Anolis sagrei: one gene and its partner. Each later gene encodes a partner of the first gene's protein in a complex. Links are inferred from orthologs where the notes say so. Each region holds a gene or a part of one and is shown on either strand. Other genes may lie near its edges.

Region 1 (3,753 bases):
ATTCATGCAAGTTTTTTTTTTCAAATTATAATCCGGCCCTCCCAACAGTTTGAGGGACTGTGACCTGGCCCTCTGTTTAAAAAGTTTGAGGACCCCCTGATCTACACCATGGAGGCTCTAGCTCTTTTGGGGAGAAATGGGTCAAGACCTTGTCGAACTGCAACTCCCAATGCAACATAACTAACATGCCATCACTTCACAGAACGCAGAAGCAACAGTAAGGTTGTTCACAAGGAAACAGCCCTCCAACTCAGGCATGGGCGAAGTTGGGCCCACCCTCCAGGTGTTTGGGACTCCAACTCCCACCATTCCTAACAGCCTAAGGCCCTTTTCTTTTCCAAGGGGCCTGAGGCTGTTAGGAATGGTGGGAGTTGGAGTCCCAAACACCTGGAGGGTGGGCCCCATGCCTGCTCCAACTCCACACCAGGTCGGACCAGGGGGGAGCTGCACCTGCTGGGGGGACCTTCCCTTTCCTTTCTGGGGCTGGACCTTCCTCAAGCAGAGGTGGCCAAGCCCGCCTCCTTTCCTTCTTCCTCTCCCTCCTCCCCTCCCCTCCCCTCTCCCTCCCTCCAGGTTGCTCTGCCCGCGAGGCCCGGGCGCGAGGCTGCTCATTCCTTCCTTCTGGGGCTTTGGCGCGAGGCGGCGCTTGCTTGCTTGCTTGCCTCCCTCCCTCCCTCTCTCTTTCTCTCTCAGCACCGCCGCGGCCGTCTTGACGGGAATAGCAGCCTCCCTCACATACTTTGGAAGGTTTTCTTTCTTTCTTTTTTTTTCTTTTTTGGGAAACAAAGTTGCGCCGAGGCGGCTCTGCTACTACCTGTATTACAGTAGCGCCGGCAGAGGAGGCGGGGAGGAGGAGGAGGAGGAGGAAGGAGCCGAGGAGTTGGAGGAGCAGCGGCATTTGGCAGACTGAGGAGGAAGGGGCGAGCAGGCCGGCGGGAAGCGCAGCCTGAGGACTGGCAGGAAGGGGCTCGTGGAGAGAGAGAGACACCTGCGGGGTTCCCGCCGGAGCCTGGCCCCTCCCCCTCCTCCTCCTGCTTGCCGAGGATGCGAGGCGCCCACTCCCGCCTTCCCGACGCGGCCCCTCGCCCCCCGCTTCTGCTGCCGGGCTGGGAGAAGGGTGGTTGCTGCTCCTCCCCCTGCTCCTGCTCCTCCTGGGCCTGCTGAGGGGGCTTTGCATGGGGCCACGGCCGCCTCGGGGCTGGGAGGGAGCTGCGCCCCGCCGCCTCCGCCTAGGATGCCGCGGCCGGGGCTGCCCTTGCCCGAGGGCTGGGAGGAAGCGCGCGACTACGACGGCAAAGTCTACTACATCGACCACGCCACCAAGAGCACCAGCTGGGTCGACCCCAGGGACAGGTGAGGAGGAGGAGGAGGAGGAGGAAGAAAGGGGCGCGCGGGAGGGGGCGGGGAGCCTTGCAGGTGCCTGGGAAGAACCTCGGCACAAAAGCCGCCTCTCCCTCGCGCGCCCGCGCGTGCTCTCTCTCTCTCGTTCTCAGAGAGCCGGACTCTCGTTTAAGCGCGACTCTCAAGCAACCGGCCAAAAGAATTCCTACCGCCTCCGCTCAGCTAGTTTTAATCATAATGTCCTTGAAAGCGCCCTACTTCATTGAGGGCAGCGGTTCTCAACCTTCCTAATACAGTTCCTCATGTTGTCGTGACCCCTCCCCCCCAACCATAAAATTATTTTCGTTGCTACTTCATAACTCTTAATTTTGCGACTGTTTCGGAATCGTAATGTTGAGTGTCTGATATGCAGGATGGATTTTCATCTCATTTTCATTTCAAATTTGGCACAAATATTCGACACACTCAAATTTGAATACTAGTGGGGTTGGTGGGGGTTGGTTTTGTCATTTGGGGGTTGCTAGAATTTATAGTTAACCTACGGAATTGAACGAAACTTGGCACACAGAACTCCCACAACCAACAGAAAGTACTGGAAGGGTATTGGAGTTGTAGTTCACCTGCATCCAGAGAACACTGTGAACTCAAACAGTGATAGATCTGGACCAAACTTGGCATGAATACTCAATATGCCCAAATGATGTTTATTGATTGTTATAATGTTATTCTTTTAACTTGTTTTTAACTGTTTTTATCATGTTTTTTGTATTGTATTTGCTTTGTTAACCGCTCTGAGTTGTCCTGAGGGCTGAGAAGAGCGGTATACAAATATAGTAAATAAATAAATAAATGTGAACACTGGTAGAGTTTGGGGAAAGTAGACAATGACACTTGGGAGTTGTAGTTCACCTGCATCCAGAGAGCACTGTGGACTCAAACAATGATAGATCTGGACTAAAATTGGCACAAATACTCAATATGCCCAAATGTGAACACTGGTGGAGTTTGGGAAAAGTAGACCTTGACAATTGGGAGTTGTAGTTGCTGGGATTTTTAGTTCACCTACAATCAAAGAGCACTCTGAACCCCACCAACAAGAGAATTGGGCCAGACTTCCCATACAGAACCCCCACAAACAACAGAAAATCCTGTGTTTTCTGATGGTCTTTGTGACCCCTCTGATACCCCCCCCTCATGACCCCCCCCCGGGGTCCCGACCCCCAGGTTGAGAAACACTGATTGGGGGAATGGGCAATTGTTGAATTAACCTTTATTTACAAAGTATGCATTCCAACTTTATTAATTGTTATCCCACTTTTCTCCCATGGATAGAATTCAAAGTGGCATACAGTTGTTATAAGCAGCAGTCATTACATAACATACAAATTCAAACTGAGGATGCCTGCCATAGATCCAGGCAAAACATCAGGAGAGAATGCTTCTGAAACATGGCCATACAGCCCAGAAAACTCACAGCAACCTAGTGATTCCAGCCATGAAAGCCTTCGACAATACATTCAATTTTTTTAAAAATCTCAAGCCAAAGAAACAAATTGCCACTACATAAACCATGCAAATGGGCCCCTTGGTGGTGCAGCCGGTTAAATCTCTGAGCTGCTGAACAAACTGACTGAAAGGTCAGCTGTTCAGATCCAGGGAGCAGGGTAAGCTCCCACTATTAGGCCCAGCTTCTGTCAACATAGCAGTTTGAAAACATACAAATGTGAGTAGATCAATAGGTACCGCTTCTGTGGGAAGGAAACAGTACTCCATGCAGTCATGCCAGCCACATGACCTTGGAGGTGTCTATGGACAACACTGGCTCTTCGGCTTAGAAATGGAGATGAGCACCACCTCCCAGAGTCGGACACGACTAGACGTAATGTCAGGGAAAACCTTTACCTTTAAACCATTTATAACTAATTAATAACTTACAACAAATGCCATTAAAATTCACTGAACCTCAGGCCACTGGGGTTATCCATAAAAAGAGTTGTACTAAAATCTTAGGAACTCCGTTTGCATCAGGCCATATAGTAGCATTGCCAAGTTTGAATAACATTCAGAGATTTATATTACCACTAGCTATCTGGTTGTTGTCTATTTTAAGTCATCAGAACAGGCTTGGTTCCACAAAAAGGTTTTAATTTATAAATTAAAGGCCAACAAGGAAGGGGCCAATCACACCTTTCAACATTTATATATATTCCATGTTTAGAGACTTTTGGGGCACCCTATACAGCAGGCATGGGCAAACCTTGGTCCTCCAGGTATTTTGGATTTCCAACTTGCACAGTTGTGGGAGTTGAGGTCCAAAACACCTGGAGGCTGAAGTTTGTCCACGACTGCTATACAGAAAAATAATGTTACCTTCAGATAAGTTTTTCTTCATTTTCTTCATTAGCTGTTTGT
Region 2 (3,753 bases), about 32 Mb from region 1:
CAAAAAGAGCAGGGGAAACCCAAATTTCAGGAAAACAGGTTCCACCTGAACATTAGGTAGACCTTCCTGTCAGTAAGAGCTGTCTGACAATGGAAAGTGTGGGGGAGTCTCCTTCTCTGGAAGGTTTAAAGCAGAGGCTGGATAGCCATCTGTCAGGAGTGCCTTCATTGTGTGTTCCTGTATGGCAGAAGGGGGTTGAACAAGATGACCCTTGTGATCTCTTCCAACTCTATGAATCTATGAGTCTATTATTTCCTTCCCAATTAAGTGTCATGGCATGTTATAGTTTTAGGAATGGCTAAATCCTACAAGGACAGATGTGTTGATTTTGGTAATGTAGTACAGCAGTGTGAGGTGAACAATATACCAACTCTCACATATCTGTGGCACTTAGCAGTGCAGCAAGATACAAGGGCAATGGAGAAATCAATATTCCTGGCCAATTTTATTGGTTTATTCACTTTATGTATTGGATTTCCATACCATTCTTTACAATAATTCATCCCAAATTGAAAACAAAAATTTTTGAAATGAATAATAGAAGACTTTAAAACATGAATATATACACCACAGTGCAATCTCCTGTGTTTAATGCACAACTTTCTCAGCATAAAAAACACGACACAACTCATTCTAGTCTCCAAGAGGCCAGCCAGATACCCACAAAAGACAATAACATAGAAGCAGGAAGCATTTAAGAGGTAAAACGTGTGTACTTTTATTTATCTTAATGTATCAACAGGTATAAAGGGGTTTCATGGGCAGAGTGAAAGAAAGGAGGGCCCGGGTTGGGATGAGTACTGCCTTGTGCATGAAGAGATGTGTTGAAGCCATGTGCGTTGCTTCCATGTGTGAGAAAACAGAGAATGCAGGCTTTTCCTGTGTGATGTGCTGTGTCCTTGTGTAGCTGTTGCTGTGTTACGGTTCTTGCAGCAGCTTGTGGTGGCAGAGATGCTCTGTGAGTGTATGTGTGTGGTCTCTATGTACAGAACTGAGCGTTTAGCAATGCGAGAGCATCTCGGTGGGCGTAGCTGCTTGCCTGATGTGCCTTTGCACGTGTGTGCACAGCCACGTGTCTCTGTTTTTCTCCCTGTATGTTTCTTCGCTTTCTCTTCATTGGCTTTACTTGCAGCCACCTGCCCTCGAGCAATCTGCTTTACCAACCGACCCTCGCCCTGGGCTGCATGCTGCTGGGAGTCCTTATCCTTCTACCTATCTGCCTGCCATGTGTTGCGTGTGGGGGCTGTAATGCACCCCCAGCCTTTCTCTCGTGGTGCGACTGTGTTGGCACCGGCAACTGCCCGATGTCCCGGCAACGAGGAGGATGCTTGAACGTTTGAATCCAGGTGATTTCAGGTGCCTTCGGGTCTGCAAGAGAACAACCTGTTCCTTGTTGCATCTAACACAGTCTCTCGTTCCAGCCAGATCACCATGGAAGCAGGGGGGACATGGACCGGGAAAGGCTACGCCGCCCCATGGATGTACCACAGTGTGCCTGGGCAGTACACGTGAGTCCTATACTCTTTTGAAGGGGGTGCTGCTTGAACAGGAGGAGGCAAAACCCAACTCCCAGCACTGGAGAGGGCTCCATAGGTTGGGATCACATTGCTCCAGGGCTGCATCAAGTGAAAGGTCACCTCTGGGATGGCAGAGGAGGTGGGACTTGGTTTAAGATTTGAGGGGGTTTTAAACAGTGGGTTTCAAACAGATTGAATAGTAGTTCATTAACATGGCTCATAGTAGGTTTTCACTTCTTTAAAGCTCTGTATTATCCCAATCACCTGTACAAGAAACAGCTTGTATAGTGATATGTCCATAATATGGACTAGGATGCTGAGGCTAAAAGGTATGTCATAGTTGACCTCCAGTTTGAACTGGGTACTTGGCAGCTCATTGTATATGCTCTTAAATATGATACCCCTCTATTTTGGAGCCTCCAGTGGCGCAGCGGGTTCAACTGCTGAGCTGCAGAACTTGCTGACCAAAAGGTAAGCAGTTTGAATCTGGGGAGCGGGGTGAGCCCCTGCTGTTAGTCCCAGCTTCTGACAACCTAGCAGTTCGAAAACATGCAGATGTGAGTAGATCGATAGGTACTGCTTTAGCGGGAAGGTAACAGCGCTCCATGCAGTCATGCTGCCACATGACCTTGAAGGCATCTATGGACAATGCTGACTCTTTGGCTTAGAAATGGAGATGAGCACCAACTTCCAGAGTTAGACATGACTAGACATAATGTCAAGGGGAAACCTTTACCTTTAACTATTTTGGAGCTAGTATATTAGCTTGAACTGAGCTTGGGCCACGGTTTTAATTTCCAAAAAGATAAATGCTAAGGTTCAAATATGCTTGGAAGTCATAAATCTGTTTTTTTAAAAGCTCATGGGGCAAAGAGCAGCACAAGGTGGGCATGTAGACAGGCAGTCAGGTGGTATTTTGTACATACTCAGAGGCACTCTTTTTTTGCCAAGATACTGAATTTGAGGATCAGTCCAGTTCAAGGATCATACTCTGTTTAGATGTAAGAGACCCATTCAGGTTCAGATTGTTTGCTGAGCTCCGTTGCCTTTTATCTGTCAGCTGAACCTGTTCACTGGGGTTCAGCTCAGTGATGCAAGGACTGAAAACCGCTTTGTACTTATAGAATGTTCTGGAAAATAAAAAATAGAAATAATTCATTCAGAAGAATATTTCCTATATCCACCTAGCTGGAACTAAGTTGTTATTTTGCACTGCTTGCTCCTAATATGAATTTATTTGAAATACAAAACATCAAGATTTATTATGGGAATAAAAATTGGGTCTGTGTTAGATTATGACACAGAGGAAGCCTGTCCAAGTCTTGTCTGAAGGGGTGGGGGTTGCATAGTAGTTTTTAAAAAGCAGGTTTACAAAGTGCACTTCACACTAACAATAAAAATCTGAAAAGAAAGATTGCTTTTCTCTTTGCTTTCCCCCTTTGATCCATAGCTACAATTTATATGTGAACCTTTCTTGGTTCAATAATAAAATTGCCTGCCAATCCATCTGACAGATATGGCCAAAACAAGCCCATCTGAAACACAGATTCCCCATCCCCAGGTTCAAAATAATTCTGGATTTTTAAAAGGTTTCTGCAAAGGTTTCCCTAGGTTCATGTAGATATAAACCCCCATTCCATTTTTTTCTGTGTCAGGAGCAACTTGAGAAACTGCACCGGGAGCTCCAGAGCCAGATCAGAAGCTGACTGCATAAGCAATTGCACCCACCAGACCTGAGCCTCTGCAGCAGTTTAGGGTACCATAAGGGCAGTATATACAGCACTGCCCTTCATACTACACAGAAATAGTGCTCTGATTCCAATTTATTTCTTATGGCAATATCCCGTCGGATCTTGGGGTCTGTAGTTTATTGGGAGAGCTCTTTGGAATCCAGAAGGGAGCTCTTCTGGTGCTTCTGACCAAGCTACAAACTCCAAACAGAATCATTGTCCTATAATTGTATAGTACTTTTACTTACTTACTTACTTACTTACTTAGGCGATCCCTTGTTTTCCGAGGATGATTGTCTTCCAACATTCTTGTGGGTCTGTATGTGGCTGTGGAGCCCTATTCTTGCTCTGCATCTTCTTCCGCAGTGAGGGCATTGGTTTCCAGGTGGGAGGTGGTTCCGGTCGGGGTTAGCTTGATGCGCCTTCCTCTTGGCACGCTTCTCCCTTTCGCCCTCCATTCGTGCCTCCTCAAATTCTGCAGCACTGCTGGTCACAGCTGACCTCCA

The links.
Region 2: the proteins of WWC1 (region 1) and DDN are in contact, whole or in part, in a crystal structure (PDB 6J69), measured with the Mus musculus proteins. The link is inferred for Anolis sagrei from reciprocal best matches to the Homo sapiens genes WWC1 and DDN. Residues at the interface, in NP_740749.1 of Mus musculus: Glu13, Glu14, Ala15, Arg16, Asp17, Tyr23, Ile25, Asp26, His27, Arg30, Thr31, Thr32, Ser33, Trp34; in NP_001013763.1 of Mus musculus: Tyr227, Val228, Ala229, Pro230, Pro231, Ser232, Tyr233, His237, Arg238, Thr239.

What each region holds. Positions count from the first base shown.
Region 1 is NC_090022.1:105,773,834-105,777,586, reverse strand, and holds the start of WWC1 (protein KIBRA), read left to right. Parts: upstream 1-989; 5' UTR 990-1,234; coding exon 1,235-1,353; intron 1,354-3,753. UniProt on the Homo sapiens protein: Regulator of the Hippo signaling pathway, also known as the Salvador-Warts-Hippo (SWH) pathway.
Region 2 is NC_090022.1:138,067,040-138,070,792, reverse strand, and holds the start of DDN (dendrin), read left to right. Parts: upstream 1-987; 5' UTR 988-1,346; exon of another isoform or gene 1,347-1,425; 5' UTR 1,426-1,431; coding exon 1,432-1,508; intron 1,509-3,753. UniProt on the Homo sapiens protein: Promotes apoptosis of kidney glomerular podocytes. Podocytes are highly specialized cells essential to the ultrafiltration of blood, resulting in the extraction of urine and the retention of protein.